4 linked regions of the Lepisosteus oculatus genome follow. The protein of the gene in region 1 purifies or fractionates together with the protein of each later gene. This does not show direct contact. Links are inferred from orthologs where the notes say so. Each region holds a gene or a part of one and is shown in the gene's direction. Other genes may lie near its edges. The genes, in order: snw1, ccnt1, snrpb2 and eef1a1a.

The links.
Region 2: the proteins of snw1 (region 1) and ccnt1 purify together in Homo sapiens (affinity purification with western blotting; 3 studies listed by BioGRID and IntAct, with this or other methods). This does not show direct contact. The link is inferred for Lepisosteus oculatus from reciprocal best matches to the Homo sapiens genes SNW1 and CCNT1.
Region 3: the proteins of snw1 (region 1) and snrpb2 purify together in Homo sapiens (affinity purification with mass spectrometry; 3 studies listed by BioGRID and IntAct, with this or other methods). This does not show direct contact. The link is inferred for Lepisosteus oculatus from reciprocal best matches to the Homo sapiens genes SNW1 and SNRPB2.
Region 4: the proteins of snw1 (region 1) and eef1a1a purify together in Homo sapiens (affinity purification with mass spectrometry; 3 studies listed by BioGRID and IntAct, with this or other methods). This does not show direct contact. The link is inferred for Lepisosteus oculatus from reciprocal best matches to the Homo sapiens genes SNW1 and EEF1A1.

What each region holds. Positions count from the first base shown.
Region 1 is NC_090703.1:2,093,354-2,101,273, reverse strand, and holds the start of snw1 (SNW domain-containing protein 1), read left to right. Parts: upstream 1-4,917; 5' UTR 4,918-4,992; coding exon 4,993-5,006; intron 5,007-5,904; coding exon 5,905-6,058; intron 6,059-6,856; coding exon 6,857-7,018; intron 7,019-7,328; coding exon 7,329-7,424; intron 7,425-7,684; coding exon 7,685-7,791; intron 7,792-7,920. Other genes in the region: adck1 (aarF domain-containing protein kinase 1), read right to left, coding at 1,199-1,282, 2,864-2,995. UniProt on the Homo sapiens protein: Involved in pre-mRNA splicing as component of the spliceosome. As a component of the minor spliceosome, involved in the splicing of U12-type introns in pre-mRNAs.
Region 2 is NC_090696.1:14,602,521-14,609,675, forward strand, and holds the start of ccnt1 (cyclin-T1), read left to right. Parts: upstream 1-4,151; 5' UTR 4,152-4,229; coding exon 4,230-4,399; intron 4,400-7,155. UniProt on the Homo sapiens protein: Regulatory subunit of the cyclin-dependent kinase pair (CDK9/cyclin-T1) complex, also called positive transcription elongation factor B (P-TEFb), which facilitates the transition from abortive to productive elongation by phosphorylating the CTD (C-terminal domain) of the large subunit of RNA polymerase II (RNA Pol II).
Region 3 is NC_090712.1:8,264,205-8,272,142, forward strand, and holds the start of snrpb2 (U2 small nuclear ribonucleoprotein B''), read left to right. Parts: upstream 1-4,923; 5' UTR 4,924-5,022; intron 5,023-5,353; 5' UTR 5,354-5,374; coding exon 5,375-5,438; intron 5,439-6,012; coding exon 6,013-6,185; intron 6,186-6,894; coding exon 6,895-7,029; intron 7,030-7,576; coding exon 7,577-7,618; intron 7,619-7,929; coding exon 7,930-7,938. Other genes in the region: kif16ba (kinesin-like protein KIF16B), read right to left, coding at 420-466. UniProt on the Homo sapiens protein: Involved in pre-mRNA splicing as component of the spliceosome. Associated with sn-RNP U2, where it contributes to the binding of stem loop IV of U2 snRNA.
Region 4 is NC_090712.1:11,006,684-11,014,669, forward strand, and holds the start of eef1a1a (elongation factor 1-alpha 1a), read left to right. Parts: upstream 1-4,976; 5' UTR 4,977-5,062; intron 5,063-6,637; 5' UTR 6,638-6,669; coding exon 6,670-6,813; intron 6,814-7,060; coding exon 7,061-7,240; intron 7,241-7,337; coding exon 7,338-7,634; intron 7,635-7,740; coding exon 7,741-7,891; intron 7,892-7,982; coding exon 7,983-7,986. Other genes in the region: slc17a5 (sialin), read left to right, coding at 275-436, 746-878, 1,597-1,744, 2,303-2,393, 2,704-2,841. UniProt on the Homo sapiens protein: Translation elongation factor that catalyzes the GTP-dependent binding of aminoacyl-tRNA (aa-tRNA) to the A-site of ribosomes during the elongation phase of protein synthesis.

The sequences.
Region 1 (7,920 bases):
ACCAAACTGACGATGCTCCCCCACTAATACAGTTCCCTTAAGCCGCCTAAAGTGGGCTGACGTCTCAGACTTAGTCACTCTCGCCACAGGTGAGAAAAATACCAGCGTGTTCATGAAACCGCAATCTCCAATCAGAACAAAAAATCTCAAATTTGAAATCAGTAAGATATGGGTGTGCTTTTTAAATAACTGTTACCTTAAAAAAACACCTCTTAAAATCTAGCGCACATGCAGCAAGCTTCAAGTTCTTCCAATCAAACAAGAAATTAAGAGTAAAGTGCTCAAATAACGTTAAAAGCTGTTTAGTTCTGTACTCCGATCTGGGATTTTGAGCCTTAAAAAAGAGGATTAAAATGAGTTTTTTTTTTTAATAGGATGACTATGATTCTAAGAAGGCAAGCGGACCAAGTAACTGCAACACTACAAGCAGAGCACCCCGGTGCTCCACCCTCCGCCTAAGAATAATAATAATAATTTTAATTAATAATTGCTTACACTTATATAGTGCTTTTCTGGACACTCCACTCAAAGCGCTTTACAGGTAATGGGGAATCCCCTCCACCACCACCAATGTGTAACCCCACCTGGATGATGCGGCGGCAGCCATAGTGCACCAGAATGCTCACCACACATCAGCTATTAGTGAGGAGGAGACCAGAGTGATGAAACCAATTCATAGAGGGGGATTATTAGGAGGCCACGATTAATATGGGCCAATGGGAAATTTGGCCAGGACGCCGGGGTTACACCATACTCTTTTTCAAGAAACTCCATGGGATTTTTAATGACCACAGAGAGTCAGGAGTCGGTTTTACGTCTCATCCGAAGGACGGCGCCTGTTTACAGTATAGTGTCCCCGTCACTAAACTGGGGCATTAGGACCCACACAGACTGCAGGGTGAGCACCCCCTGCTGGCCCCACTAACACCTCTTCTAGCAGCAACCTTAGTTTTTCCCAGGAGGTCTCCCATCCAGGTACTGACCAGGCTCACACCTGCTGGGCTTCAGTGGGCTCCCAGTTATGAATTGCAGGGTGATGGCTGGATCTAAGAAGGATATGAAATCTGAAATTTCAAATCGGTTCTCTACAAAAATTCTATCCTAAATAAAAGTTATCTTTGAATTTTATCAACAAAATGTCATTAAAATGAACAAAATGCATATCACACAGTAAGAGCTCTTGTGAAATCTTACTTACCTCTGACTTGGCAGCGCTGTATTCCTCGGTCCCATATTCAAATCTTCGGAGAGATGTGAAGTAGTCGTAACTGATAACTGCGGTCTACAATGGAAAGGTACAGGGATATTAACCTAACAGTGCTTCTGTAGATATTGGATAAACACTTTCTACAATGAACAGTAGGTTAAAGAGGCAGCACATGCGGAATTAATGTCAAGTCATCCTTTTGGTTATCTTTATGTAAAAAAAAAACAATAACCAAATTCTTAGTAGGAAATAGCTTCAGACTATACTACACTCCTAACGCACTGTATAGTAAATCCCACATTACTGTCTCTTCTTAGCATACCAGCCTCCATGACGACTGTCCTTACAAGAAAAAGCAGATTGGAAACTGTCCTACGACAGTTCCACATGAAAATGTAGAAGCTAGAAAGGTTGAACCTAACTAGAGCCTGCGTTTCTCTCTGAGTAACTCTGAATGTGTTTGGTGTGCGAAGTGTGCTGTTCATGCCAGTGTCATTTCTCCCAACATGGACAAACAAGAACTGGCTCCTCTCCTGCCTTTGCTAGGCACCAGTCAGCCCCATCAGCAGTCTGGAGAATGGCAGGCATTGTGGCTCACTCTTACTGACCCGGGATCCACATGTCTCGTTTCACTTGCAGTTTGTCTGATAACAGCGCCTCCAACAGCCACCACTGCCATATTCTATGCATTTCTGGTGGCTCTGTCACAGACTGAAGGCTTTATAACAGCTGTGCAGTGGACTCCAGTATCTGTGATCATGTTTTCTGCTACTCAGAGGTGTCCAATCTTGACCCTGTACTTCCAAGTCCACTGCCAGAGTGTCTGGTGATGACGAGTTGTTGGGTGGGAGTGTCAGGATGGGCTGTACGTCCTTTGACAACCTGAGCCCAGCTGCCCTCTATCGGCTGCTCTGTGCTGACTGTGGGTGGTCTGCCTTTTCCTCCATCTCCTGCCCTCCGAGTCCCAGACGCTCTCTTTCTTCAAGGAGGAACAGAACAGTGGGAACTCTCTGGGACTGTCCACAAGCCACTTAAGTAATCACAGGCTTATTGGCCATTTTCAATGTACATATCCACTCCTGGACAACTGGCAAATGTCTGAGCTGTGTTATTTCTAAACAAGCCACCTGTCTTCAATCTAGAAACCCTCTCATGGCACAGCTACTACTATCAATTGTATTTAATCCAGCACACATGAGCTAAATTAAATCATAACAGCTCCCACAGGCTGGGTGTCCTCCTCTACAAAGGTTAGCATTCAGCACTACCCTACCAACAGTTTCCCAAAGAGTTTTGGTGATAAAAAAAACAGTGGAGTTGCTTTGCCAAATGTTTCTCATAAAGTAGCAAAGGGCAGCTCATCTGTTAACTCGCAGCTGGGTGTTATTTGGTCCAGACTTGCAAGGTACGGCACTTATGCTGGGAATGACAGATCCCGCGTGAATAAACACACACCATCTTCATTACTGAAGTTCAGATGGGCCAATAGCATAGATGCTGGGCCATAGATGGGCCATAGTAATTTAGCCTCCTCTTCTTCATATTTGTTTCTTATGTATCAAGGACGCACCACAGGTTACAAACACGAGGAAGAAGAAGCCGCCTGGCCCACCTTGCTATTTTTGGTGCAATAGATGAAAGTCGACAGGAACCTACCGTGACCGCAGCTCTTCCGAACCGGATGAAGCTGATGTCATTGAGATCCACAGGCCTGTGATACCAGCAGAACCCCGAAGAGGCCAACAGGGCCGTGGCCAGCGAGGAGACCTTCAGCAGCCGTCCAGCCATGAGGGCACTGCAATGTGGAGAGGAGGAAGCACACGCTCTGTTCTCCCACAGCACTGCCCACGCCAGCTGCGAAGCTCCAGTACAAACGGGGCTGCGATGATGAACATACACATTTCTGACACAATCAGCTGCTTCATTTACCGGCAGTTACTTCACCCTGAACAATCTTACTCCCAGAAGCTGCTTCTGTCAAGACCCATTGTATATTAAAAAGTAGTATTACTCCACGGGTTAAAACACATTTAAGCATGATGATGCATGGATGAGGGTGTTGCAATGAGTAAGGCAACAGGACAGGTGGGAGTGTGTCGGTACTGAGGGCTGTGACACCTTGGTCTGCTTTGTCATGAGCCTGCAGGGCCATTCCTCACAAGCCACTAAAGATGAGTGGCCTTTACATCTGAAAAAAGCGCTCTGCAGCCCTGGCTCATTCTTCATTTATCATACTGTACTGAAACAGGCTTGGCTGCATCCAGTTCAGGCCTGCAATCAGCCCGGATTACCTCGTGCAATATTTCAGTGATATACCACTCCCCGTCTCTGCAGACAGCCTCTGACACGCAGCTGCAAGGACTGTGTGCTGCTCTACGTACTTCATTTTCTCTTTTTTTGCTATGATCTTCCACTCTTTATCAGCATATTCAGTAATATTAAGATAAAATAAAAAAAATATAATCAGTCAAAGAAATTCGACCATAGCTTTTGTGGTGTTTTTTCATCTTATGCATGTTTCTTATTTGTTAGTTCACGTCCTATCAAAGGTGCACTGAGTCTTTTACCTGCCTGCAGAGCATACTTCCCGTGTAGGATGATGAAGGAAGGAAGTAGAGGGTCCCTGAGCACTGCTTTCACATGCTTGAGCAGTTGGAGGGAGAATTAGCAAAGATTGTGTCTCTGCATCAGGGTGTTGTATTGTTGTATGGGAACAGCACCCGTCTCTGCCCATGCATGAGCAAGCAGTAACATTTATGGCATTATAACACAAATTCTGAACACTAACATTGGAAATACTCTTACTGACCAACATAATACACAACAGAAAAAGGTTACAATACATGTAGAGTTTCAGAGAAAGGGACCTTGCCTTGAGTTTAACGTTACGAATCAGAAAGGCATTTCAGAGAACCTCCTGCAAGTAGTACTATTCAGCAGTGAGCGCAGCACTTTACTAAGTCGCTAAACAAATAATACTGACCATCATCATATTTAATTATGGTAATTGGTCTTCGTATATCACGAATCGTTTTCCCATTGTTGTCATTTGTGTGTTGCTTTCAGTACTGATGGCTACAGTCACACTGTGTGGATGGCAGTTCATGTCGCCAGTGGTGAAGACACACGACATCATACATGAACTAAACGTTCAGAAACAACCTGTAACATTACAGCAGCAACAAGGCTTTTCATTAAGGATGTTTAAGAAAGGTATCGGAGTTGTACTGCATTTCATGAGCAGTGCAGTGCAGTGCCATGCCATTGACATTATGTAAGTTGAAGGTTTTGTAACACTAACGATATGTACAAATACAAAAGACGCTACAAAATAAATGCACCAAAAAGCAAATCATTTTGTCTTGTTATGAAATACGCACAAAGTGCACACATACAACACTTGCTTACGTTTATTATGCACATTTGTGCAAGTAAATTCCCATTCACTTACCGGTCCAGACGACCTCTCAACTCCCGACCTCAATTATTCTCGACCTGCTCTGCGCAAGGCACCCTGGACAATGTAGTTGATGATCGGGGCAGTCTCGTTTTATTTTTTTATTCAAAAGATTACTCTGAATCGATATTCACCAACGGGACTGATTTATTTTTAGTAATGTTAAATATGACAGGCATTCTACGCGTATTTGCAAGCGCGTCTTGTCCGCTACTGAATCACAAGGTTGTGTAATTAGTGGAAACTGTACAACTGCCGGAGGTTAAGCCTGCGACGTGACGCAAGGAAGCGCGTGGTGACGTCAAACGCCACATTCCGGGGAAACAAGATGTCGCTGGCGAGGTGAGCTGTGTACGACAGAGCTTGTTTTGGGACTAAACGGCGATTATTGTGTGTACGACAGTATCTCGCGATCAAGAATACTAACACGTTTGTTTGCAATTCCTTTCTGGTAATATGCGAAAGCAATAAAGTGATTTATGCCTCCGTTCCCGCTCGGGTCGCTCTGCGCAGTTCCGGGCCCGTCCTGCGGGCCTTATTTATCTCCTGGCCTCCGGGAGAGAGAGGTTTATTCAGTACCTTTTCGAATGTTATTCTCAACGTATGTGATTATATGTAGGAATCCCTATCATTGGCTGACTCCACGGTGTTTAGCTGTTTGAACTGCCGGCTCTCGCTGTCTGGCTGCGCCTCGGTTTCTTGAGCCGGATCGGTTTACAGCTGTATGGTGTGAGTTTGAAGTGAGGGGTCAGCAGTGTTCCGTGCTGAGGAGAGATGAGATCACTTTATTGGCCAAATACAGTTTCTTGCATTAGGTATTTGTCTTTTCGCACACCCCAGCTTGCTCTCCATGAGACACACAGACAGGGAGAGAAGCTGGGGGTCAGAGCGCAGGGTCAGACCCTGGAGCAGTTGGGGTTAAGGGCCTTAATCAGGGGCCCAGCGGAGTAGGATTCCTCTGCCGGCCGCAGGATTTGAACCAGCAACCTTCCAGCCACAGGCGCTGATCCCGAGCCACAGAATCATTGCTCCGCCCACTTGTTGTGAAGTGGTCGTCTGTAATAAAAAGTCTCACAATGGGACGCTTTATCCTTTGTCCTTTAGTGTGTAACCGCAGTTTGTGGAGATTACAGTTACTCTCAGTTCATCTTTAAAACACCTCAAGCCCCTGTTTGTTTTTTTGCTTGGTGCACTGGTTGTTAGTGGGAGCGCTGATCGGGGAATGTGTTTTGGGTTGCAGCTTTTTACCGGCCCCGACACAGCTGACCCAGGACCAGCTGGAGGCGGAGGATGGGCACCGCTCTCAGAGGCCCCCGTCCACCGCGCTGGTGTCCTCCCGCAGAGAGCCGCCGCCGTACGGCTACCGGAAAGGCTGGATTCCCAGGACGCTGGAGGTAATTCTGCTGCAGCTACTCGGGCTGCCTGCCTTGCTAAATGTCTGCATCTGCTTAACCTGTGTGATTCATGAGCTTGCCGTTCAGCCGGTCCAGTAGGTATGTGCTAGTTGGTCCGTACCTAGCATCTCCCTGCCAGGGTATGGATATCAACATATAGCGAGTGGCTTGTTTCACACTCCCACCACTCATTGAGTAAAGACATGCTTCTCCTTCTCAGTTTTAAATGCACTCCCCTGCCGTTTCTGCTTGTGTCTCGTGGTTAACGTTTCATTGTGGCTTCCGAAGAAATCCACAGAGCTTGTCTCACAATTTTGAGTACTAGTGTTGAGCGTGCTTGCTATTTTCTTTTTTTAAGACTAAAAGTACAATACTGAAACCGGGCATTGAATACAATTATAACTCGCATTTGTTTCCAAACTATTTCTTTTGTGTTTTTTTCCTCTGAATTGACGGAAAACCCTTTAAGCATGATATGATGTTAAAAGTCCCATGCTGCCCTGGGTATTGAGACTTTCCCTACAATACTGTACATTATTCCTTATACTTATCTATTGCTTTCCGCCCCATTGCACAGCACATCAGCAAGTGGCGTGCTGAGAGATGGCTTATCTGAGACACAGTGTTAACACCACTTTTTAATAACCAAATTGTCAGACTTAGATTTAATATCTTATCCACTGTGTGGATCAGCAGGTGAGTATTGATTTCCAAACTTTCCAAGGTGACCTCATCAGTAGCTTCAGGGGACTAACACAGACCCACTAATACACATACTGTTTTTGAACTCATTCCCAGGATTTTGGAGATGGCGGTGCTTTCCCTGAGATCCATGTGGCCCAGTACCCACTGGAAATGGGCAGGAAGAAGAAGACCTCGAATGCTCTGGCGCTGCAGGTGGATGCGGAGGGAAAGGTCAAATATGATGCCATTGCAAGGCAAGGGCAGGGCAAGGATAAGGTATGGTACCGTGTTTTCAAATGTCGCAGCATCACAAACATCCTGGCTGCACAGGGAGATAAACCCGCCGGTTTTGGTTAACTTCTGTTTTTAAAGTCCTAAAGGAACTGTTAAGCAAGAAAAACGATTGCAAATTCAGTCGTTATACCCTAAATGTATTCTTTATAACGTAGAGTGATGCAACTACTCATCTGCTTGCCAGAGATGCCTTGTTTACATTGGTAGATTAGCGCAAATGATGTTTTAAGCATGTTCTTCTTAAATGTGCAGCACTGGCAACCAGAATGTTCTTGTTTTTAATTGCTTTTAGGTGATATACAGCAAGTTCACGGATTTGCTTCCTAAGGAAGTTATGAATGAAGATGACCCAGACCTGCAGAGGCCTGATGAAGAAGCGGTTAGAGAGGTGCGTATTTTGTCCAGATTAAACTGCACTGGGAAGAAGAAGCACTTTGATTGCTGACTCCTAATTCTTCCCGCTTGCTTTTGTTTCATGGTCAGTGATAAATTAACATGTTCTCAATAAAGACAGCTTTTATTCCCTGGACCTGAGGCTTTGGACTTTGATATGAATATTACCACTTATCAGTCCATCCACATTTTACCTTGGAGCCCATTTTGAAATAGTGTCTTCAAACTGAAGGGAAAACAATTGTTTTGATGCAGCTGACAGAGAAGACCAGGTCTGCCTTGGACAAGCAGGTATCGCAGAAGATCGCGGCAGCCATGCCTGTGCGGGCAGCCGATAAGCAAGCCCCTGCACAGTACATCAGGTGAGAGGAGTCACTGGTACTTCCTGGTCTCTGTTACAGAATTGATCCCTTAATTGACCTAATATCAATTTGAAATCAAACTCAGCTCAGCTGGAACAAAACCAGCGTGTTTATGGCTTTCTGGGACAA
Region 2 (7,155 bases), on another chromosome or scaffold:
TTTATTTCTCAATAATAATAATAATAATAAAAATAAAACAACTTTATTTATAGAGCACCTTTCATACAAATAGAAGCTCAAAGTGCTTTACAAACCAAGAAAAAAAATAAAATCTTTAAAATTAAGAGATATATTTCCAGTTGTAAAGGAATAGCCTGGAAAAGTGAAAAAATACATACATTCCTGGTTCTGAAAACAAAACATTTCTTTAATCTATGGAAGACAAAACAGTAGCTAGATCATGTCTTCATTAAAATGCAACTGCACCTGTATTTCCTACAAGGAGATGGAGTTTCTTGAGAAGAAGGAGAACAGCAAGGAACCAGACATTTGCCCAGGAACAAAATTACACTTCTACTAAGTTTTTACACTTACAAATGTGTCACGAACATGTGCTTTGGAACTAATTGCCCTCCATCCCCGGCAGTTATGCAGCTTGGGAAAGTTAAAAAACACCTGTAAATGTAAATACACAAGTCAAATCCACACATTCAAGACTTAGATTCTCTCAGTCCTTAGTGGCTCCCTCACTTTCCAGAGTGACTCACTGGAAAGACTCCAAGTGCAGCCAACAGGGCTGAACTAGACCTCCCTGCCAGTGGTTCACTAAACATAGCATCCAGCCTGACTGTGTCCATGTAGCACCACCAGTGTTTCTATGTCAAGGATGATGCAGTGTGAGCTCCAATGATCTGCTGTGTGTGCAGCTGTGTGAGCTCCGCTGACCTGCCAGGTGTGCAGCTGTGTGAGCTCCAGTGATCTGCTGTTGGTGCTGTTGTGCAAGATCCAATGATCTGCCAGGTGTGCTGTTGTGTGAGCTCTGCTGATCTATCAGGTGTGCTGTTGTGTGAGCTCTGCTGATCTATCAGGTGTGCTGTTGTGTGAGCCCTACTGATCTGCCAGGTGTGCTGTTGTGTGAGCTCTGCTGATCTGCCAGGTGTGCTGTTGTGTGATCTCTGCTGATCTATCAGGTGTGCTGTTGTGTGATCTCTGCTGATCTATCAGGTGTGCTGTTGTGTGAGCTCTGCTGATCTGGTGAGTATGATGTGTGAGCTCCAATGATCAGCCGTTTGTCTGTGAGTTCCAGCTTCTGACTTGTCTAGCACCTTGGCCAGCTCCTAATAATGTACCCACCAGGAAAAGCTGCAGTGCTTTACTTCAACTTGATTGTAAACCTCTGTTTCAGTCTGAGGTACAGCTGAATCCTGACCTCTGATCACATCAGGCAACAACAGTTCATCAGTGGAGAGTCTGACTGGAAACCTGCATTATTTCCCAGTCTCCTTCCACGACACCAGCAGACATGACACTCGCTGCCATGAGTCATCCCTGCAGGAGCAGTCCTCTGGGAGGGTCCGCTCATGTGTTGCTGCACCGGGGCTGGGTGCTGCAGAAAAGACCAGGATAGACATGATGGTTGTCTATCGTGTTCGATGATGACGGTTGTACTTTGTGCAGCTCACCTATTTGGAAGATGAGCTGCACAAAGAAACCTGTGCAGGAGAGCTTTTTGAGGTGGGAAAGCCGTTGCACTGGGGCAGTCCCACTCTCTCGGCCTCAGAAGCCTGGGTCCAGTGGTGCGAGCGGCCGTCATGACTGGAGACTTCCTTGGTTGCAGTGGATGGCCATGACGCCTTCCTGTCCCTTGTCATGCCCTTTGCTTTCCATGGAGCGTTGCAACAGTATAATGACCCATCACTATACTGGGGGCATTAGGACCCACACAGACCGCAGGGTGAGCGCCCCCTGCTGGCCCCACTAATACCTCTTGCAGCAGCAACCTTAGTTTTTCCCAGGAGGTCAATGAAACATCCTCCCAGGAGGTCTCCCATCCAGGTACTGACCCGGCTCACACCCTGCTGAGCTTTAGTGGGCTGCCAGTGGTGAGCTGCAGGGTGATACAGCTGCTGGTGGACAGACATGAACTACAATGAAAACACCAGAATGCACCAGAACCAGTATGCACCAATGCACCAATACACCAGGTGCACCAGAATAATCTGTTACCCTGTATCCACACTAATCCAGTGTCTGTGCAGGCTTGAAAACTGTCTGGTGCCAAAGGAAATTTTAACAGATCTCAAAATGTGTAGCTCATTTAATGTTGGCTGTGTTAAAATTACAGCAGGTCACGTTTATGCAGTATATCATAGCAGCAGTATGGAGAAGGGAGCTGGGTGTGAGTGACAGAGGCTCAGTTAGGGAATGGGGGCTGGACCAAGTTAGAGCCATTTACAAAACACATTCCGCATGGATCGGTGCACCAGAAACGCATTTTGGAGCTAATATTAAAAACAACTTTATATGTACCTCGCCGGCAAGTGAATTCGCGTCACCATTGCCATCGTTTCTCGGCTTTTTCCGGACGCGTTAGGAAAAATAAAATAAAAGATGGCATTTTGCTGCCACCTGCTGGTTGGAAATTAAATTACGTATCATTGTTTCCCATTCGCAATGCCGTCTTGGGTGAGTAGCTCAGATGGTTAACCTACAAATAACCGATTTCCTACAAATAAAGAAAACTGTTGTCATTAACGGGGCTGCACCATAGCACCATAGTTTGTATCGCACACCACCCTGGAGCTCATGCCCAGCATCCTCACGCGTTCAGGGACTCCGTTTTCTGCGTGGTACGCACACGATCCAGAACTGCAGGGGTGTGAGGCCTCAGAGACTGTCCTACACCTGTGCCCAACCGTGTGGGTCACACAAAGCCCCCACCTGCTGTGGCTACAGACAGTCTTCCTCAACCACACTTCACTGAAGCCCAGCAGGTGTGAGCCTGGCCAGTACCTGGATGGGAGACCTCCTGGGAAAAACTAAGGTTGCTGCTGGAAGAGGTGTTAGTGGGACCAGTAGGACCTGTAGGGGGCGCTCACCCTGCAGTCTATGTGGGTCCTAATACCCCAGTATAGTGACGGGGACACTATACTGTAAAAAGGTGCCGTCCTTCAGATGAGGCATAAAAACTGAGGTCCTGACTCTCTGTGGTCATTAAAAATCAGAGGGTGTTTCTCTAAAAGAGTGTTACTCCAGTGTCCTGGTCAAATTTCCCATTGGCCCTTATCAATCATGGCCTCCTAATAGCTGGTGTGTAGTGAGGTACTGGTGCACTATGGCTGCTGTTGCATCATCCAGATGGGGCTGCACACTGGTGGCGGTGGAGGGGAGTCCCCATTACCTGTAAAGCGCTTTGAGTGGAGTGTCCAGAAAAGTTCTATGTAAGTGTAAGCAATTGTTATTATTATTCAATCTGAACCTGCCTGCTATACATTTTTTGATGTATAATGCCTGATGCTGTTTCAAAAAGTAGACTGTGGAAGTTTTTCTTGTGTAGATGATAGGAATAAAGTTTTGTAACAAGCCAAATTAGTGTTAATCATGAAAGCCAGAAATTAATTTATTGAAAGGTATGTAGATTTATTTAGAGACTGACCCCAGCTCTTGTGGTTAGATAGGTTTTCCTTGTCTCTTTATGTCAATAGCTTATTTGAGGAGTCAATTATCCAAATAATCTAAATATTTTCCAGCAGTAGGTAGACATATATATAAGACTTTTACACTTATTAACTCAAAACTTTCTTTCCACACAGTTACCACACACTTTGGAGCATGGTTAGGAGTAATATTATTTTTATGAGGTAATTAAACAATCAAAGCCAATCTGGAACATGAACCAGAATTCACAGCCTCTTAATAATTTCCATTTTTTTGCCCACCTCCCAAAGGACCAATTGGTGACTCTAAATTGTAAAGGAACAAGTAAAGGTTTATTCTTTACTGAAAAGAGGAAAAAATTGAAGTCTCCAAAGCCGAAACGTTGTGTTTCTCTTCTTTTCAGCATGGAATAAACCTTTACTTGTTCTTTAACAGCCTGCACATGCTGACGCAGCTGCCTACTTGAACGACTCTAAGAATTTCAGATTTGAGGGGGTGTTTACAGTACAACCAGTACTGGCTATGGGGCTATAGGCAAATACAACTAAAGAGGCCGCATGGCCTATTCTTACTGTGGCCGTTCTGATTTTCTACGGTACAGTACCACACCAGAAAAGAAAAGCCGAAGCCAAAAAGCCGGTCAAAACAACACCAGACGGTGACATCATTAGGTATTGCCGGATGCGGAAGTGACGTTCAATGGAGGCCTCCATCAAAGGCACTGAGCGTGGCGTTCGTACAAGCAAGCTTCCGGTGACGCCGTATTTTTTTTTATATTGTCCCTCTCAGTAATGGCGGCTTCGTTTCCTTCTTGTTCCTCACCGAATAGCAAATGGTATTTCACCCGGGAGCAGATCGAAAATAGTCCGTCTCGCCGTATGGGGCTTGACCCAGACAAAGAACTGTCGTACCGTCAGCAGGCCGCAAACCTCCTTCAGGACATGGGGCAGCGGCTTAATGTGTATCTTTTCACTGGGGCGCTCGGAGCGCTTGAGTCGCAGCACGGCGAAGCCGGTGAGGCGGCATGGATACGGCGGCTCAGCTTGGGTTTTCCGAATGGCTTGGCAGTGTCAATGTATTAACGCTGGTCCAGAGCGAGGTTTGTAAAAGAGAAAGAGGTGTCGTGTCGACATGTACTGTGGAGTCGGTGTCCTGCCGGGTTCTCGCTGGTTGCTAAGGCCCGAGCAGTGTAGGCCTCGGCATCGGCCTAGGAGTTTTGGATAACAAAAGCCGGCGCCGGTGTTTCCGGCGACTTAGGCGGCCTCTTACAACCGGAGGACGGGTTAATCCCTGCAAATATCATATCTGGTTGGAGTTTTAAGAATCGATTAGTAGAAATGACGTTTATCTGTTATTTCATTGTTGGAGCGAGAAATTCACCGCTGCCGCTAACTGGTCAGCGTGTCTCCAAGCGAACAGCATTGTTCTCACAGCATATAAAACAACACGTTTTCGAGGTTTTCATGCTTATAATGTTTAAGGAAGTCGAAATGTACTGTACAGTCCCCTTGTGATAGCACATACAAAGACGTTTGCGATATTTACTGGAGCCATGAAGTAGCGGTTGTTTAGGGAAATACATTTCACGTCTTGGTGCCTCATGTTTGTCAATATAAGCCCTGGTTAAAATGGTTACACTGTTAGAATCCTGTTTATAACTGTAAAAAAAAAACTGTAAATAATTGAGAAATTAATAAAGTCCAGTGGCGCATTCGAGTTCGGCGTCTCCACATAATAAACATTTTTATCAAGTATTCTTGAGTCGTTCTTTTAGACGAATTCTGTAGTCATCATATTGCATTAAATACACTTAACTGTGATACTTGGCTTGAATGTGGATTACAAGACAGATTGGTATTGAAGGTCCTCACAGAATGGGAAAATTAATTCCAGTTCCCTTATTTTCCTGCAGTTAAAAAAATACTGTGAATGGTACAAAAGGTGATTAAATCACTTTTTAACAGTATTTTATTATAGCTACTGTGTGCTTGATGTTAGGAGTATTTGTCAATATAGTCGTCCTGAGGGTTTGGTAAAGTAAATTAATTGCACTCAGTGGCTGCAAGAGGTATTTGATTGTAATTATGCTACATGTATTTTAAGGTTAGATTCTGTCTCAGGCCCTCACCTGTCATGGGTGGACAGGGATTATTGTACCCATACTATAATCTTTCTAAAAAGTAGGGCTAGGTAAAGGAAGGAGATTTTCTAGGTGTTAACTATGAGGTATCCGTACAGCAGGCTATCATATTAGATGGGTTCTATGCACGTATATTTTCCATACTTGATATTACAATATTACAAAGTATTATGGAGAGAAAGAAAGGTTTGATTGTTATACAAAATGTGGCCTTAGATCATATGTGATTTGTGCAAAACATAAACATGCCAGGGTGCTTTAGAAACCTCAATCTTCAGAATAACTTTGTGACAAAAATATTCATGTTGGGGGATAAACCTATGTTTTTTAACAGAAATGGCTGTTAATTGTAAATCAGTTTATAAGCATCTTGTGACTTCACCTGCTGTACGCTCGTAGTTGTCTGTAGCTATATTTTGTTTTTGAAAATGAATACTGCTTTACTCTCTAGAATGTATGCTTCCATGAGGTGAATTATGCTTGGCTGTGAATTGTAATGCAAGTACTGTGTTTGGTGGTTAGTAGGGTTCTAGGTATTAAAGACATGTCATGTGAAGTGACTGCTGAGACTGTACTGTTAGATCAATAGGAGAATGTCAGCTCAACCATCTGTGGCATATTAACAGTACCCCAAAGTAAAATATGTGAAGGCAGTGTGGATCTGTTAGTTTTGCATTGTGGAATTTCTGTTGGTAATTAACGTGTGTTTATTAATAGCTATTAATAATGACCTTAATTGTAAAATACAGTGTTAATACCAACTGTGTTCAACAGTCATTTGCTCTTTTGTGAAGTGTAATGGATATTGGTTGTTAGTGGTTTTCTCAGTGGTATCATTGCTAGAGCTATTGCAAGCAGCCATGTTTGCAATAAGTAGTTCAGATTAGTTTTAAACTATGTTCATATTTCTGAAACTCTGAAGATGTCTGTGGAGCTGTAGGTACACATGTTCTCTACCTGTGTCTTTAGTTAATTCACTGGATTTGACTCCAAATTACAGTTCATGTATGGTAGGCAGTGCCTGGGGTCATTCTCACCCCTGCTCTTGATTTAGGGTCTGATCTGTCACTTTTTACTTAAATTGGAGTTAAAATTTAATTTCATTTTTTGGTTTTGCATTAAGATGGATCTGCTGCAGGGTGTAAACTGCTTGCTTGGCTGTTAAGTGTTGATCACCATTATAAATAATAAAGGGGTTCAGCCAAACCAGCAGTGTTTTGCCAGAAAAATGCAGTTAAATGACTTAAACCATCCTTGTCTGTTGTGATCTTCTGATGCCTGTTCTTCAGTGTTTGACCAACTTTTGTAGTTTAGATTGCTGTTTTATGTTGTTGGTAAAAATGTCAGGTTTCCCAGTTAAAATCCTGGTCGCATCTCCCAGGAGCCTCTTAAGAAAATCTGAACATGGGAATAATGCAGGGAACCCCTGCCCCCAGACATCAATTTCTAGTAGGTCCATATAGAGTTGGGGAGTTTGCAGAGTTTTTGGATTTAATTCTTAATGACTTGGTTCATTATGAAATTGTTTAGAAGGTGATGGGCAGTTTAAGTCTTGTGTGATGAGATAAAAAGTCCCT
Region 3 (7,938 bases), on another chromosome or scaffold:
TTATGTCAAATCCCCAGTCTGTTTCCCGATCGGGGAATATTTGAGGAACAGATAGGAAGATGTGTTGCAAAGACGCTATATAAAACATTTACTAAACGAGAAGCAGTTATTCAAACCTTCGACATGTTTTGCATTTTTGTTGCTTAGTTGAAAGATACCACGTTGTCAGCTTCAAACAACATGGGTGGATAGTTTGTTCTACACTTTCGAAACACTTCGTGTAAATGTATACAAGGTACCGAATAAAAACAATGTAGCGCGTTGCATGCAAAGAATACACGGTGAATAACGCTGCTGCGACTTAAATTCTTTAATATTACAAGAGGAGACGCTAAAGCAGGTAAGAAGACATTTTTAAAGAAAGACTTTGCATTCAAAACTTAAATGCGAAGAAAATATTTTTGTAGTTAGACACTTACCGCCGATTCATCGGCCTGACTCTGACAGCCACTCTCACTGATGCCATCGTTCATTCCTGTGGCTCTGTTGTGATTCGCACCTGTTACCAGCTCAACCGCAGTCTTATTATTTAGGTTTCTTACTTTTGGACAAACGCAAGGGGGGAAAAAACATATTTTTTTGCGTATGTCAGTGTGAATTTCTGAACGGTGTGAACTGTTGACTTTCACTGCACCGGTGCCACCGCAGCAGAAGTAAATACAGGATATCTTTCCAAGGAAAAACTCTCAAACTCCGCTACCGCTGTCAGCTGACAAAGCATGAACTCCAGGAGGGATGCTGTAAAGGACAAAATACTCTTAAACGAAGAACGCGTTTGGAAAAAGGCATCGGGGAAATCAAAGCAAAACCCTCATGACTCAGTGTACGACCGCAACGCAGCGGGCGTGGGAGTTTGTAGGCCTGCTCAGCCACAGGCTAACAGGAAATTATGTGTGTTTAAAATAGGGTATTATTTGAATAATCGAGAGATTCTTGTGGATTGAAACCAGTAATAACGATTCTCATCAAACGATTAATTTTAAATTGCCTCCGTGACCTCTTTTCAAATATGTATTGCAGTGGGCGAATTATGATTTTAGAAAACAATTGTCTACCTGATTTTCTACAGTTTAACCGAAATTCGTTTTCTGATTTTCATTTTGTGTCCTTGTCAAAGTTGAGTTTTGTTTTCTCTTAGTGTTCCTATGGGTTTTTTAGATACAATACTAAGAGAAGGAACATGAGTTTAACATTTGTAGAGTCTCGATTTGTAAATTGAGTAATTTAAAGATCATCTGGGATCAGAATCTGGGTACCATTCTGTCCTCAAAGACATAGTTCCCTTAATTGTAAAGACAACGTGTAATTTATCAATAACTTTCAGATGTTTTATATTTTAAAAAAAATGGACAAACCGAAATTGTACTCTCTAGGACCAAAGCTGGAAATCACTGCTTTAATGTCTTATACATATTATATTCTCATTCACATACTGTATGATCTCTCTTACAATTTTACCTTTTTAATTCTGACTGTAATAGTTTAAACTGGTTAATACAGCACACTCTAATTGCTATGAAAGCTCACATTGTTTAGTATATTAAGTCAAAAATGAATCATTCAAAAATTAAATGTGTTGCTTTGATAGTGCAGTATAGTGGTGCAAGTCATTTAGTATATATTAAATGTAACATTAAATATTAAGCACTATGTAATAGCTGAAGTACGCTGCTACTTGAGCATTCCCTTGAGTAAAGAACTATACTGTACTTCAGTAAAAGCTCCAGTTAAATCCCTGTTTGTATAAATAGGTCTTGAAATCCCAATTGTTAAATAAGAATTTGTTCTCAACTGATAGGTAAAATAAATGAGAAAGAATCAATGGTATATGGAGAAAATATCTTCCTAATGATATTGAAGCTAAAAAAGAAAAACTAATATTTCACAGGTTTGGCACCTCTGAATTTGAGTCTTTGCTTTGGATTTTCAGAAAATCAGCTCCTCCCCTCATCTCAGTCTTTTGTTCTCCCATCTTTAGCAACTGATTTCCCTCTCTCCCTCATGCTTAAAAAAGGTCCCATAGCAGAAACGTTATGTCTCTTTTCATTTTAGCAGGGAATAAACCCTTTCTGGAACATTTGTACTTTGAAAATCAACCTGATAGTGTTAGAAGGGTACTAAAAACCATTTGATGTTTTATGACTCGATGATCATATATTCAACTTCAGAATAAATAAAATTAAGGGACACAATTTATTTTTCCTCTTTAACTTTCCCCATGCTTTTGGAAATCATGGTAGAAAAATGAATTATTATTTATTATTTTCTACAGTGAACACCATTATTTAGATGTTATAACAGAAAAACTGATTAAACATTTAGCTGAACTAGATTATTTGTATAACATTTTAAAAAACATTCTAAAGCATTGAACAAAACTAAAATGGCAATAAAATAATTACAAACAAGCTTGAACATGCTTTAAAAGAAAACACAGAATACAATAATAATACTGTACATTTTAAAGGACATTTCAAAGTTGTGTTTTTTGTCATTTCTTTTAAATTGTCATCATTCAATGTACTTTTCTGTAACATGGGACCAACACAGTGATTTTGAAAAATGAGCCAGGTACATTTTGGTGCATTTATATCACTCCAAATTGCCTGGACCATCTTTCTTCCACACAATTTATTTTGTCAGCAGGCTTTTTCTTTTATGAGTAGATATTCTTTTTCACTAAGCTGTTGATATCCAGCAAACAAAGAGCAATGGTTTTATTTATGAAGTCCGGACCCTCAAACCTCAGCACGAGTGAATCATTCATTTAATGTTTGGAAGGATATCCAGAACGCTCAATCTGCCTCCTGTAAGCGACCAGTCTCAATGGAAACAGAAGCGTTTGGCAAAACACCTTGCCAGTATATTGAATTGTGTTATTTGCTTCCTTTAATATCTTTCACTCCAAGGATCTCCAATCTCTAAGAAAAAATAAATAAGATCCAGATTTAAATGAGTCGCACGCAAATATGCCAACCCTTAGAGAGCCCTCCACAAGCTGCTGCATGTGCCAAGTGAATCAGTGGTATTTTGTAAAACAGTCTGACACAAACTCCTTTGCAAACCAATTACACGTGTCCTGCAGGCGTGACTAAGTAAGCTTATTACAAAAAACAAAGGCTCAAAAAGCCATACATCAGAATGCAATATAATTTCATTGGATTTATGTAACACTTTTATGCCTAAGTATCACAAAAGCTCATTGCACATGAAAGAATGCATTTCACACATTACTGATGTGCTGCACCAACCTGGGTGACACAGAGAAGTAAATTTATGCACCAGGAGCTCCACCATACAGCAGATAAAGTAGAGAACTGAGAAATTTTCTCGACGATTTAATTAGAGGGGAACATTAGGTAAGACAGATAATGTAAGTTCGAAATTAAATTTAGCCAGGAGAATGCCGTTAACATTCTATCCACCCATTTTCTAACCACTTTATCGAATACTGGGTCGTGGGGGATCCAGAGCCTATTCCAGCAAGCAACAGGTGTAAGGAGGGATGGATGTTTGGCAGGGCCGAAACATCCACAGACACATTCACACCATAGCCAATTAATCTGGTATGTCTCTGGACTCTAGAGGAAACACGCATAAATACAGGGATAACATACAAACTCCACGCAGACAGCAATCTGGGAATTGAACCCAGGGCTCCAGTACTGTGACGTAGCAATGAACCACTGCACCACTATGCTGCCCTCGATAAACTCACTACTCTTACAAACAGTACCATTTGACTTTTAATTCCCAAGTAGTTGGGACACATTGGTTTAATAGGCCCTTTGAAGGATGAACCTCCTACAGCAGTGTAGGACCATTTGTATTCTGCTGCATTGGATTGAAAATTCTGGTATGAGAAAAGAGGTTCTTCTTTTAAGCCAACATCACTTACAGGAGCAGCCTGATTTTCCTTTGAACTGGCAAGAGCTTTTTATAATGGGTTTAGTTACACTAAAAATACAAGAGTGGGTAGTGGAGTTGGAGATGTGCCCCTTACTGAACGTGCATGTTTCACACTGGGGTGCTGCAAGATTGTAAGAATTACTCCAACAATGGTGAGTAATAGCCCCAGCCTAACTGTCATTCCCTTGCATAGTAGATGCCTGAATCTCCACAAAACGATTTCACCATGGCAGGGTTCCCGGGTGGGTACACTAGCAGTCCTGAAGCCATGTTTAAAACTGCTGTTGTCTGCATGTATTGTATCCCTGCTAACATGTAGGCCCTCCTCCCGTCTTCCTCAGGGCTGAGTAAAAACACACCCATGGCGCCTGATTATATAGCATATTGTATCACATGTGGTTTGCATTTAATAGGAGAACAAATCAATGAGGTATTTTAAAAGCATTAAATTAACTGCATTCAGATGTCTCTTTGTTGTGTCACAAATAAGACAAAGAATTCCCATTGAACACTGAACAAAGTTACAGGAATTATTTGAAAATAAAATCAGGCAGGAATCTCAGATCAGTAAACCACCGTAAGATTTCACAAGCTGCGTCTTGACAAGCAATACAATACGGTATGTTTTCGGTGCACAGAATCTATATCGAGACCTGTTTGATTAAAACTGTTTTCTAGCTAACACAGGTCATGGACAATAGCTGTATGATGCGTGTTTTCACATTCAGTTAATGTGTACCCCACATGTAAAAAACGCCAAAAAAAATCACAACAAAAGCGTGCTCAAGTCTTTTTTGTCAAGGAGATATTTTCTCTTCACCGGGAATGTAATATTTCTCACACTTTTAAATGTGTAGCTTTAAACGTGTATTTTTAATAGTGGATTCGATAGTTTAATTAACCCAATACAAATTGGTTTCACAAAATTAACGTATTTTATACTGTATGTAATTATTACGTACAGATACGGTATGCAGTCTGTGCCGCTAGAGGGAGCAAGAAGTATGTAGGAACTAAATATTCAAAGCGAAGTGTTCTTGTTGTTTTACACAGTGTTGCACACAGGAAGTGTGATGGTAGTTTGTTTCCGGTAGCGTTTTGAAGAAGAGCGGCGTGAGTTTGCTGTGTTTTAATATTGTGTTGTTTCTATTAATTTTATTTTATGTTTTAATGAAATGCAGTTTAAAAGTGGAACATCTCTCTTTATAATTAGAAATACTAATATGTTCTGTTGACTTTAGTCTTGTTTTGTAAATCACGTACTTGTTTCTTCTAGCTTCTGAGCAAAGATGATTTTTAATTGTTTTTAATTAACTCTTACATAAATACAAATTCATGTAAATACTCGATCTAACAAGAACAATGTTTCACTTTCTTTAGCCACCGAGGTTTTTTAAAAATTAGATTAGAACAGTTTATATGTAAATCTCTTTTCTTCTTGTAGTTATAACGTTGCAGTGCCATCATGGATATTAGACCCAACCACACCATTTATATTAATAATGTAAATGACAAAATCAAAAAAGAAGGTAAGTATTTACGAATATCGTCATTTATGATTCAGGAAGTCTGTTGTTCGGATAAACGTTGCCTATTTGTAACCGTACCCAATAAATTTGAATGTATATAGGGTAAAACCGAAAGAGAAATCATGTACCAGTTGTGTCAAAATAGTGTGACTGTATGGTAATATTGTTTAATAGGAGGCTGTAGGGCCGCGTACAGTCAGATTTTAACTAAATTAATTTAAATTGTATGGGCGTTTGGCCTCTTGTGGGAGCCACCGAGTTAAACAGGAAGCTACAAGGCTGTGTCCAAACAGTATTTTAACTTAATTCATTTGAACTATGTTGACCGCTGGGTTGGGGGTGGGAGTGTCACAGTTTGCATGTCATTTACTGCTATATTTAGATTGACAGTAATTTAGTATGATCTGATTAATATTTCAACATGTTCAGAAATAAAGCACAGTCCCAGTACTAGCAGGCATTGATTTTTAAACTCATTAGATCTGAATAGTGTTCCTGTGCAGTTTCTATCATTTCTTCCTGACTTAATACTTAGTGGTTTTGAATGCACTAATTTTTTTTTATTTCTCCGTAGAGCTAAAGAGGTCGCTATATGCACTGTTTTCTCAGTTTGGACAGATAATTGATATTGTGGCTTTGAAGACAATGAAGATGAGAGGACAAGCATTTGTTGTCTTCAAAGAACTGGGCTCTGCTACCAATGCTCTTCGACAACTGCAAGGATTTCCGTTTTATAATAAGCCAATGGTTAGTTACACATCTGAGTTTTAAGTGCACTTGAGCTGTTTTGACATTTACAAAAATACATACCTTGTATTTGACTTGTCTAGAAAACAAGTTGCCATGTATGATTATTTCATGTAACGATGCATATTTTTTAGGAAGGCTCTTCAATAAGGAATAAATCCAATTCTTACAAGGTTTTTCTACATTAAAAAGAAAAACAGGAACAGCTTTTGGGCCTTTTATATTAAAATTGCATTTTTTTATACTCGTGCAAAAGCCTTAGAGATCCTGGATCTAATTGGCTGTAACAATATATGTCATGTTCGGCATCATTGACACCGCAAGACGTTTCTACTGTTCAGACCACCTTGATAGTCATTAATAAAGCTTAGCATGGGAAAGCTTACATGAGCAGTACATGAAATGTTGGAGTAACGTATTCCATCACATGCACAATAATAAAATCTATAAAATCTAAACTCTATTATTGTCAGGTTTTGCTCACAATTTACATAATAAAACTAAATGGCTTCTTTTTGTAGAGCAAAATGCAGATCTCTCAGGCCTAACTCTTCTCTTAAAATGTTCAAAATTTCTGTATTTCATTACTACAGAACTGTTTCTGCATTTAGAAGGAATAGCATTGAAAACAACACAACAGTATAATATATTTCAAGACTTTTACACAAGAGTATTTATACGCAATTTCTTTCCTGTTTTACCTACACAGCGCATTCAGTATGCCAAGACAGATTCTGATGTTATTTCTAAAATGCGAGGCACATTTGGCGACAAGGACAAGAAGAAGGAAAAGAAGAAGAAAGTTCAGGAGCAGGCAGCAAATGCAACCAAGAAACCAGCCCCGGTAAATAAGTTTTGCTTCATTAAACATAACCCCAATATATCAAAACCACACCCATGCTTCTTTTAACTAATGTTCTTTTTATGAAATTTCAATACCACAAAGCATCAAATAGCGATACTAGCTATAGAGTGAAGAGGAAGGTGCATACAGCGCCACTCATCTCATGTAGACTGCTTGCATCACATTCCACTAACTAACAGAGCCTATGGAGTGGTAGGAGAGACGTGTGTGATGCACTTCATTACATCTTGCTTTCTATGCTGTTCAGTATTGTGTGAGCTCTTGTTTTTCGTGCAAGAAAATTGGCTGTTTTGACATTATAATGGACCCCAAAGGCATTAAGAAAATGAAAACTGTGATTATGTGTGTAATTACACAAAAATCAAATGAAGTGGTTACTATACGGTACTGTACATAGGTATAATTAATAATATCTAGGTAAGCAGTGTTTTTTATTACTAAAAGCACAAACCACAGTATGAATGTTAGGTATTTTTCTGGATGAATGTTTTTCATTGATTCTTTTTCTTTACTTTCTGCGAAACAGGCATCTACGAATACACCTTCAAATGCCCCCCAGACTCAACAGGTATGTGCCAGATGACGGGGGATTTATTTATGAAATTATCTATAACTATAATGAAATAGTTATTCTATATATTATTCTATATTCATATATGTGAGTATGAATGCAGATCTGATAAAGTCCATATTTTTAACTTGTTTGTATTCAACATTTCAAGAAAGAAATACTAAAAATATAGAACATCAAAGAAACGTAAAAGGTTAACTTGCAGGAATAAAAAGATGTTGAAAGTGTGAAATTCATGTCCAATATTTGCAGTAGCACAATAATACTTCTGTACTTATTGCTATAATGTTATTTTTCCTTTTTTCTAGACACCTGAC
Region 4 (7,986 bases), on another chromosome or scaffold:
ATCCGCAGCAAGATTAATCCTGCAAAACACGTTAAAGTTATTCTCTCCTATCCCATTTACTAATTAACTGTCTGGTCAGTGTTCTGAAAACTTTCATTTGGTTGAACGTAGCCTGTTCGAAATTAAATACCTTGCTGTCGTTTATTCTTTCTACTTTTCAGCGTGAAATTAACCTTTATGTGATCCTCTGTTGTTGCCCACAGTGTTAAATTAGTATTTCCTAGCAGTTTTATTCATGAGTCATATCGTATTTTGTGTTGTTTTCCCTTCTCAGCTGTCTCCCTCAACTAAACACATTCCCTGGAGGTCATTATTGACGTCTGTGCCACTGTGGGCCATTGTTGTAGCTCATTTTTCCTACAACTGGACTTTCTACACTCTGCTGACCTTACTACCCACCTACATGAAAAACGTTCTAGGATTCAACATTCAAGAGGTTAGGACTTTTTGAAACAAGCCTGGGTTTTTTTTATCTTTGTCTAAAAATAACATCTGTTATCTCTATAAATTTATTGCTGTTATTTCATTAGATAATTCCAGTAGAACTAGGGCTTTTTGTTAATTATAAATTGTACACTTTGAAGATTTGATTGATAAATCCTTAATGATTAAACATTTTTTATAGTGTCAGCATGTTAATTGTAAACAAATGCTTGGTTTTTATTTATAATCTATAGTACAAATATTATTAATTTATTTTTTGCTGAATGTCAATATGTAATTAACACAATTTTTTCCCATACAGAATGGATTCTTGTCTGCTTTGCCATATTTGGGCTGTTGGATATTGGCACTTCTAGGTGGTCAGCTTGCAGATTACTTGAGAGAAACATGGATGGTTTCTACTGTAAGAGTGCGCAAGTGTTTCTCATTGATCGGTTAGTTGCACAGAAATATCGTTGTTCTTGGAGAGCTCCTGTGATTTCCAAAGCCTGTTCACCCTGATAAATACAACTTGCTATCAGCATTGCTGTGTGTGTGATATGAAGATGCTTCAGATACTTACAGTATATAGCAGATGTTTTTACCATTAATTATTTTAGAGTTGCCAATTTAACCTTCTTGCCCAATTTGGAAATGCTGGTTGCTATAATTTGGCTCAAATTGGCCAGAAGGTTAACCTTCAACCAAGCCAAATAACCATAACTTCAAATTCTCAATAAACCATTTAATATGCCTATTAATTGGCTGTTGTCATTCCCGGTGAACAGTGTGTTGGGAGTCTAGGTCACATTCAGCTAGTGACTTGATCTAGGCCTTTTTGAAGTTGGTGCACTTTGTGGCTTACTTACAGTGGACTGAAGCTGTTATATACTGTAGGTATTGCTTCGGGGGTTTTGAGTGACCCTTGATAAATGCATGCTATTAACAGTGAATTGATAACATATGTACATGAGAAGAATGTAAACAATTATTACAATTAATTAACAAAATGATTGAGCTTTTAAGATGGGTAACAATGTTGTGCTAATAACTGGGCATTTAAAGTGTTCCTTGGTCGGTCGAATTAAGTAATTTGCTTCTCCTAAATTTAAGGATCACTGACATGAGATCTTAATAAAGAAACCATTCACCAAGCATATTTTTTTTCTTTAGGAATGATTGGACCAGCTGTATTTCTGGTGTGTGCAGGGTATACAGGCTGTAATTATATCCTGGCTGTGACTTTTCTGACAATCTCCTCTGCCTTGGGTGGGATCTCTGCATCAGGCTTTAGTATAAATCACCTGGATATTGCGCCATCGTAAGCAAATTTTCCACACTCATTCTTCTTCAACGAAAAGAATTTCTTATTGAAAAAACCTTCAGTTAACCTCTGCTGCTTATGGTTTCTATCTGTTCATTTGCTCTTTAATCTAGGGTAATACTCATTTATTAAAATATTTAAAATGTATATATTTTTCCTTCTCTTATTTAACACAGAAATATAGAAAATGTATGTGTTTTTGAAGTTGTTTATAAATTTGATTATTAATTTTACTTGTGGATGTTGACACATGATGCACATGTCCTCAAAGAAAATGAACTCCCTAAAAGTCTTAATGCTACATAAATTGAAGTATTGCACAGTGCTGAGAAAAAGTTTGTGAACCCTCTAGGCTGGTCTGTATTCTTGTGTTTTTTAGTTCTAAATTATTAGTACTAATAATTCAATATCTTTATTTAAGACTTTCATGAATTTTGTATATAAATGTATCACACAAAGAAGTGATACATTTGAATTATTACATTTTCTCAGCGTTGTATAGTATATAGTCGCGATTTCCTTGTAAAAACATTTTATCTGTTTTTGTCTTATTAGTTATGCTGGGATATTACTTGGAATTACCAATACATTTGCCACTATCCCTGGAATGGTTGGACCAGTTATAGGCAGAGCCCTTACACATTCTGTAAGTCTCATGAATTGGCATAGAAGTATTTTCTTTCTCTTTTAACAGTAACAAGCCTTTACAGAACTATTTTAGTTTAATTATTTAAGATTATGTGGCAACACTCGAAATAATATTTCTACTTTCTATTAATTATTTCCAATGTTTATATAAAGCATTCAGTAAACACATTGCAATGAAAAGTGACAGATGGAAACTGGCTAAAAGAGAAGAGATTTTTTAATCTAAAAGTTATGCTTTCACAATAATCTTTGCTTCTGTGAATGCTGATATACAGTACAGTAAGACATTGTTTTGTACTTTATTGCAGAACACTATTCCAGAATGGCAGACTGTCTTCTACATCGCTGCTGCTATCAATGTGTTTGGTGCAGTATTTTTCACCTGTTTTGGTAAAGGAGTGGTCCAGGGTTGGGCAGTTCCAGATTTTCACTCACATGGCAGCTAAGCTCTCGGAAAACGAATCACTTTCTACCGAAATCAGGAGACCGCGCTGACCAATGTGATATGCTTTTTTCTGTTCTGCTCAACATCGCCAAATTATTTCATTGTCGTCTAATCTTGTTTAAACATGTTACTCAGGATTTTGTCCTTGCACCAAATTTAGTGAGACATAATTGTTAGATTTTCAAACATTTGCTGACAAAAATCAAGCCACCTTTGTGCATCAACTAAAACTAAAGATACTGAATGGCATGTTATTGTTTGATTTGTGTACATCTTTGACATTATTTTTATTAATTATGTATGTTTAATTCAGACTAGTTTCTTGAGGGGGCAGAAGAAGATTAATATTGACTGCCAGTGGCAGTTTATCATCAAGTGTAGGTTTCCTGAGCAAAATTTGTTCTTTGAAGAAAGTATTGTTTATTCTAGTGAAATTGCACAATTGCCATTTCCTTGGGTTTTATACTATTTGTGTTTTATAGCAAAATCCCAAGGTTTTTTTTTAAAACATGGTTAACGTAGTAAAGTGGGGAACTAGTGAGTTACAGTTTCCTATTTGTTGATATTTGGATTTTAAGTACTGTCAAGTATTTAGAAATTTTATTCAGTGCCTTTATTCAGTGTAACATATCTGAAAGCATGATTCTTGAATATTTGGAATATTAATGCCAGTCAGATTTGATGTCTGCAGACGAGATTTCTTTTCACACTCATGTGCTTGTCAGGGAAATTGGAATATGACCCATATTCCTAAATGCAAGATAGAAATAGGACAAATGAACACTATAAAATGCATTATTTAGAAATATTAATTAGCTACAGTAGCTGTATGAAGGTAATTTGTCAGCAGAGAAGCAATGACACTATAACTAAAAAAGTGGTTTATTTTTCAAACCAGATGTTTGGCTTGATTTTGTTTGTTTTTTTAATTCTACACATTGTTTCCTTTTTTATTTCAATTTCGTAAAAGTTACAGCTGTTATTTGTTGTGATAAGGTGATACGTTACTGCTTTAACAGCAACAAAAAGTCAAACTTTATGAAGTTTTGCTCTACTTAAAAAAGCTGACATTTAAAAAAAGAAGTGGCATAGCTTAGCCCCTTTTTTCCTAAATATTTTTAAATTATAATGTTTTTAGTACAGTAGGTTAAGAAATGTTATTGTAGTGAATTCTAAAGACCTTTCTGTACTTCTGTGAATAAGCTTTTAGTATGTAATGGGAATGTGAAGTATATCACATTGAGGCATCCTTTTTGTACAAATATTAATACTCTTAACTTTAATCACAAATAAATAAAAGCACTTTATTTGTTCAGGAACGTGTACAGTGCTGAAAGGAGTAAATCAGTTTAACATGATATTAAGTTGCAAGGGAAATAAAAAAAAACTTTGTTACGACTATAATAATTTGTATCATTAAATACAAATTACTGGTGTATTTTATTTTGTGACAAATGTTAAAACCAATGTACATGTGTGAGTATCTCTTCATCACCAGAAAAAGGATTCTTGGAATTGATCACTTTAAAATGTAAAACTCTTTCTATTCTATTATTTTTATGTGTGGTTTAGTTGTACTATTTAATAAAAGTGTTGTGTTCTCACCAAAACGCAGAGTGCTTAGCGAACTGTATGAATTTATCATAAAAATCATATAAATTTTATGGCACCTGCTGTGAAAACTTTTCATTCTGTACACAATATTTCCTGGTCAATATTGAACTTTAAAAAAAAGTTCCTGAACTGCATGTATAAATGAAAGTTTGTCATAACGAAATCAATCAGCGCTTGTTAAACACCATGGCTTGTATTTTTTTGCGTACCATGAAATTAAGGAGACTAGACGAACACTAGAGACACACCTAGCAAGGGGACTACTCACAAGTTAAACTGCACTTTCACTAAAGATATCCTCAAACCTACTCTGCATCCACCTGCTTAACATCCCTATTAGCATCCTAGCAACAGAACCGCGAATTAATAAAAAAAGAGCGGTGGTAGTCTTTTTTTTTAACGATGATGTTTGCCCTCCTAACGATTACAGTAACGCTACTCTTAAATGTTTTCTCACCGTCCCTGAAGATGCTCTGTCCTGGCTAAGAGGGGGTATTAGAAATGTCAGTCCTGACGACAATTGCTGTACCCCCTCCCGACAGAAATATAAACGGATCAGCGGCGGCGCTCGCTCTTTTCCGCAACGAGCACGCAGAAGCTGGAGGCAGGTAGGACATTCTGGAATGATAATTGCAGCATCTTTGTTTACTGGGAAAGCCTCGTCTTTTCTTTGGCGCTGGGTGGCATGCTGCGCTGGAAATGAGCCAGCTACACGGTGTATTCACGATTGCGATGCATGTGTTAAAAACGTCTGGATTTCTGAAATGGTTATTAAGTTAGAAACACACATTGCGCTAATGAATAACAGCCTTTGAGCATTGAATGAGGGGAGAATATGGCGGCGATGGGGGGGAGGAGTAATCTTCAGACATCTCAATTATGGGACTGTCGCCCTTCACAGCAGTTTATAACCTAAATTTGCAGCTTCCTAATGTTTCATTGGCTTAAGCCGTTCCGTATCGTTATGGCTGATATTTGATTTTTTTGTAGTGGTTCAGAGCATCAGATTAGAATTTCACACAAGGTGTTTTTTTAATTGCATTTGCCCGTTTTTAATATAATAAACCGATTATGCCTAAAGACATTATATATTGCATTAATATTTAAATAAATAGGCTCGAGGGGGACAGCTACGTTTTAAAACGAGGTTGCAGATTTTAAAATAAATACCACATTGAAATACATAAATATAATCCAGGCAGACGTTTGTCAGTTGCCTATTCAGCAGGATCTGGCTGTTGGAAGCATTTGAGAAATCTATCATACAAACTGATGTTTTGTTACCGATTTAAATGTTTTCTTAATTCTTAATAGAGGCGACACCAATACTCGATTATTCCCAGTTACAGGAATGAATATCCTAATTTGTTTTTTTTTTTATTGTGTTGGTGTAAGATGAGCATGTCTGCCTTATCCCTCTGTTGTGTAATGTGAGCATGTACAGTATACGTCTATAATGGCTGCTTTGTCAAGGCACTGGAGATTTCCTACAAAATGGAGGGAACATTGACATATGCACAGTGCTCATCCACCTTGTACACAAATAGAAATCCGTGGAGTGCGAAATAGAAATGACGAATAACTGCCCATCTCCGGAGAAACGCAAAGCAGCTGTCTGGGTGGAGCAGCCTGATGCAATCTTGTGCCAAGGACTTGGCTGCTGAACTTGAGTAGTATTTGCTGTTCAGAAAATGCTCAGATGCCAGAGACTGTGGTTACAAGTAAGATATTAATGCTGGCATACAGTACAATTAACATAACATCACTTTATTAGCCCTGTACATTTTCTTGTATTAGGAATTCATCTTTTCACAAACCCCAGCTTGCTCTCCATGAGACACAGACAGGGAGAGAAGTTTGGGGTCAGAGCACAGGGTCAGCCATTGTACAGCACCCCTGGAGTAGTTGGGGTTAAGGGCCTTGTTCAGGAGCCCAACAGAGTAGGATTCTTCTGCCAGCTGTGGGATTTGAACCAGCAACCTTCTGGCCACAGACGCAGATCCTTAGCCACAGAGCCACCCCTATACTATACATGTCCATAGTATTACACTATAGTATACACCATACTATACATGTCCATAGTATTCATGACACCTGTTAAAGCTGCTGTGGTTATGGTCTGTGTATAGTTGTGGGATATTTTGTGTTCAAATGTGTAACCTTATGTAAATCTTGTGTTGTAGATTCTATTGTTTAGTATCATCAAAAATTCACAATGGGAAAGGAAAAGACTCACATCAACATTGTAGTGATTGGCCATGTGGACTCTGGCAAGTCGACCACCACTGGCCATCTCATTTACAAGTGTGGTGGCATCGACAAGAGAACCATTGAGAAGTTTGAGAAGGAAGCTGCTGAGGTATGTTCACGGTTTAAGAACACCTTCCAACAGTTTTAAAAATTAGAAAGTCTGGTATGGTAGGCTTTATTCTGAACTTGCAGACCATGGGATTACTGTACTTTATCAGGCAGGTGAAGTGATATTAAGCCCAGGTAACCTTGTGCCAATAAACTAGGTTGTATTTTTAATAGTGCCGCATGGTGTTGCTGAAGCACTTGTTACATGCCTGGTTTAAATAGCTTATCGTATGCTAATTGGTTTGTAGATGGGCAAAGGCTCATTCAAGTACGCTTGGGTGTTGGACAAGCTGAAGGCTGAGCGTGAGCGGGGCATCACCATCGACATCTCCCTGTGGAAGTTTGAGACCAGCAAGTACTACGTGACCATCATTGATGCCCCCGGGCATAGGGACTTCATTAAGAACATGATCACCGGTACATCGCAGGTTTGTACAACTGTATTATCAGTAACCGCCATGACAAGTGACCAGACAACAACAACAGCTCAGATCACCTCTCTTTGTCGCCACCTCGCTTTTACAGGCAGACTGCGCTGTCCTCATTGTTGCGGCGGGGGTTGGGGAGTTCGAAGCTGGTATTTCAAAGAACGGCCAGACCCGCGAGCACGCCCTGCTGGCCTACACCCTGGGTGTCAAACAGCTGATTGTTGGCATTAACAAGATGGATTCCACTGAGCCGCCATACAGCCAGAAGAGGTACGAAGAAATTGTCAAGGAAGTCAGCACTTACATCAAGAAGATAGGTTACAACCCCGACACTGTGGCTTTTGTGCCCATCTCTGGGTGGAATGGAGACAACATGCTGGAATCGAGCCCTAATGTAAGTCAGATGGAGCTTACTTGGCTGTCTGGTGTAGCCCATCTTAGGACACATTGCTTGGAATACCCTTTGTGATTTTTGAGCACCTCTTTCTTTTCACTTAAAGATGACATGGTTCAAAGGCTGGAAGATCACCCGTAAAGATGGCAATGCTTCAGGCACTACTCTTCTAGAAGCCCTGGACGCCATCCAGCCTCCCACACGCCCAACTGATAAGCCCCTGCGGTTGCCTTTACAGGACGTCTACAAAATTGGAGGTGAGAACTGTTGGTTTCTGTGTAAAGCAAGGTGTCAAAGGGACAGAGTAGCAGTCCGTTCCTTAACCCACGTGCTCTCCGGCCTTCCCAGGCAT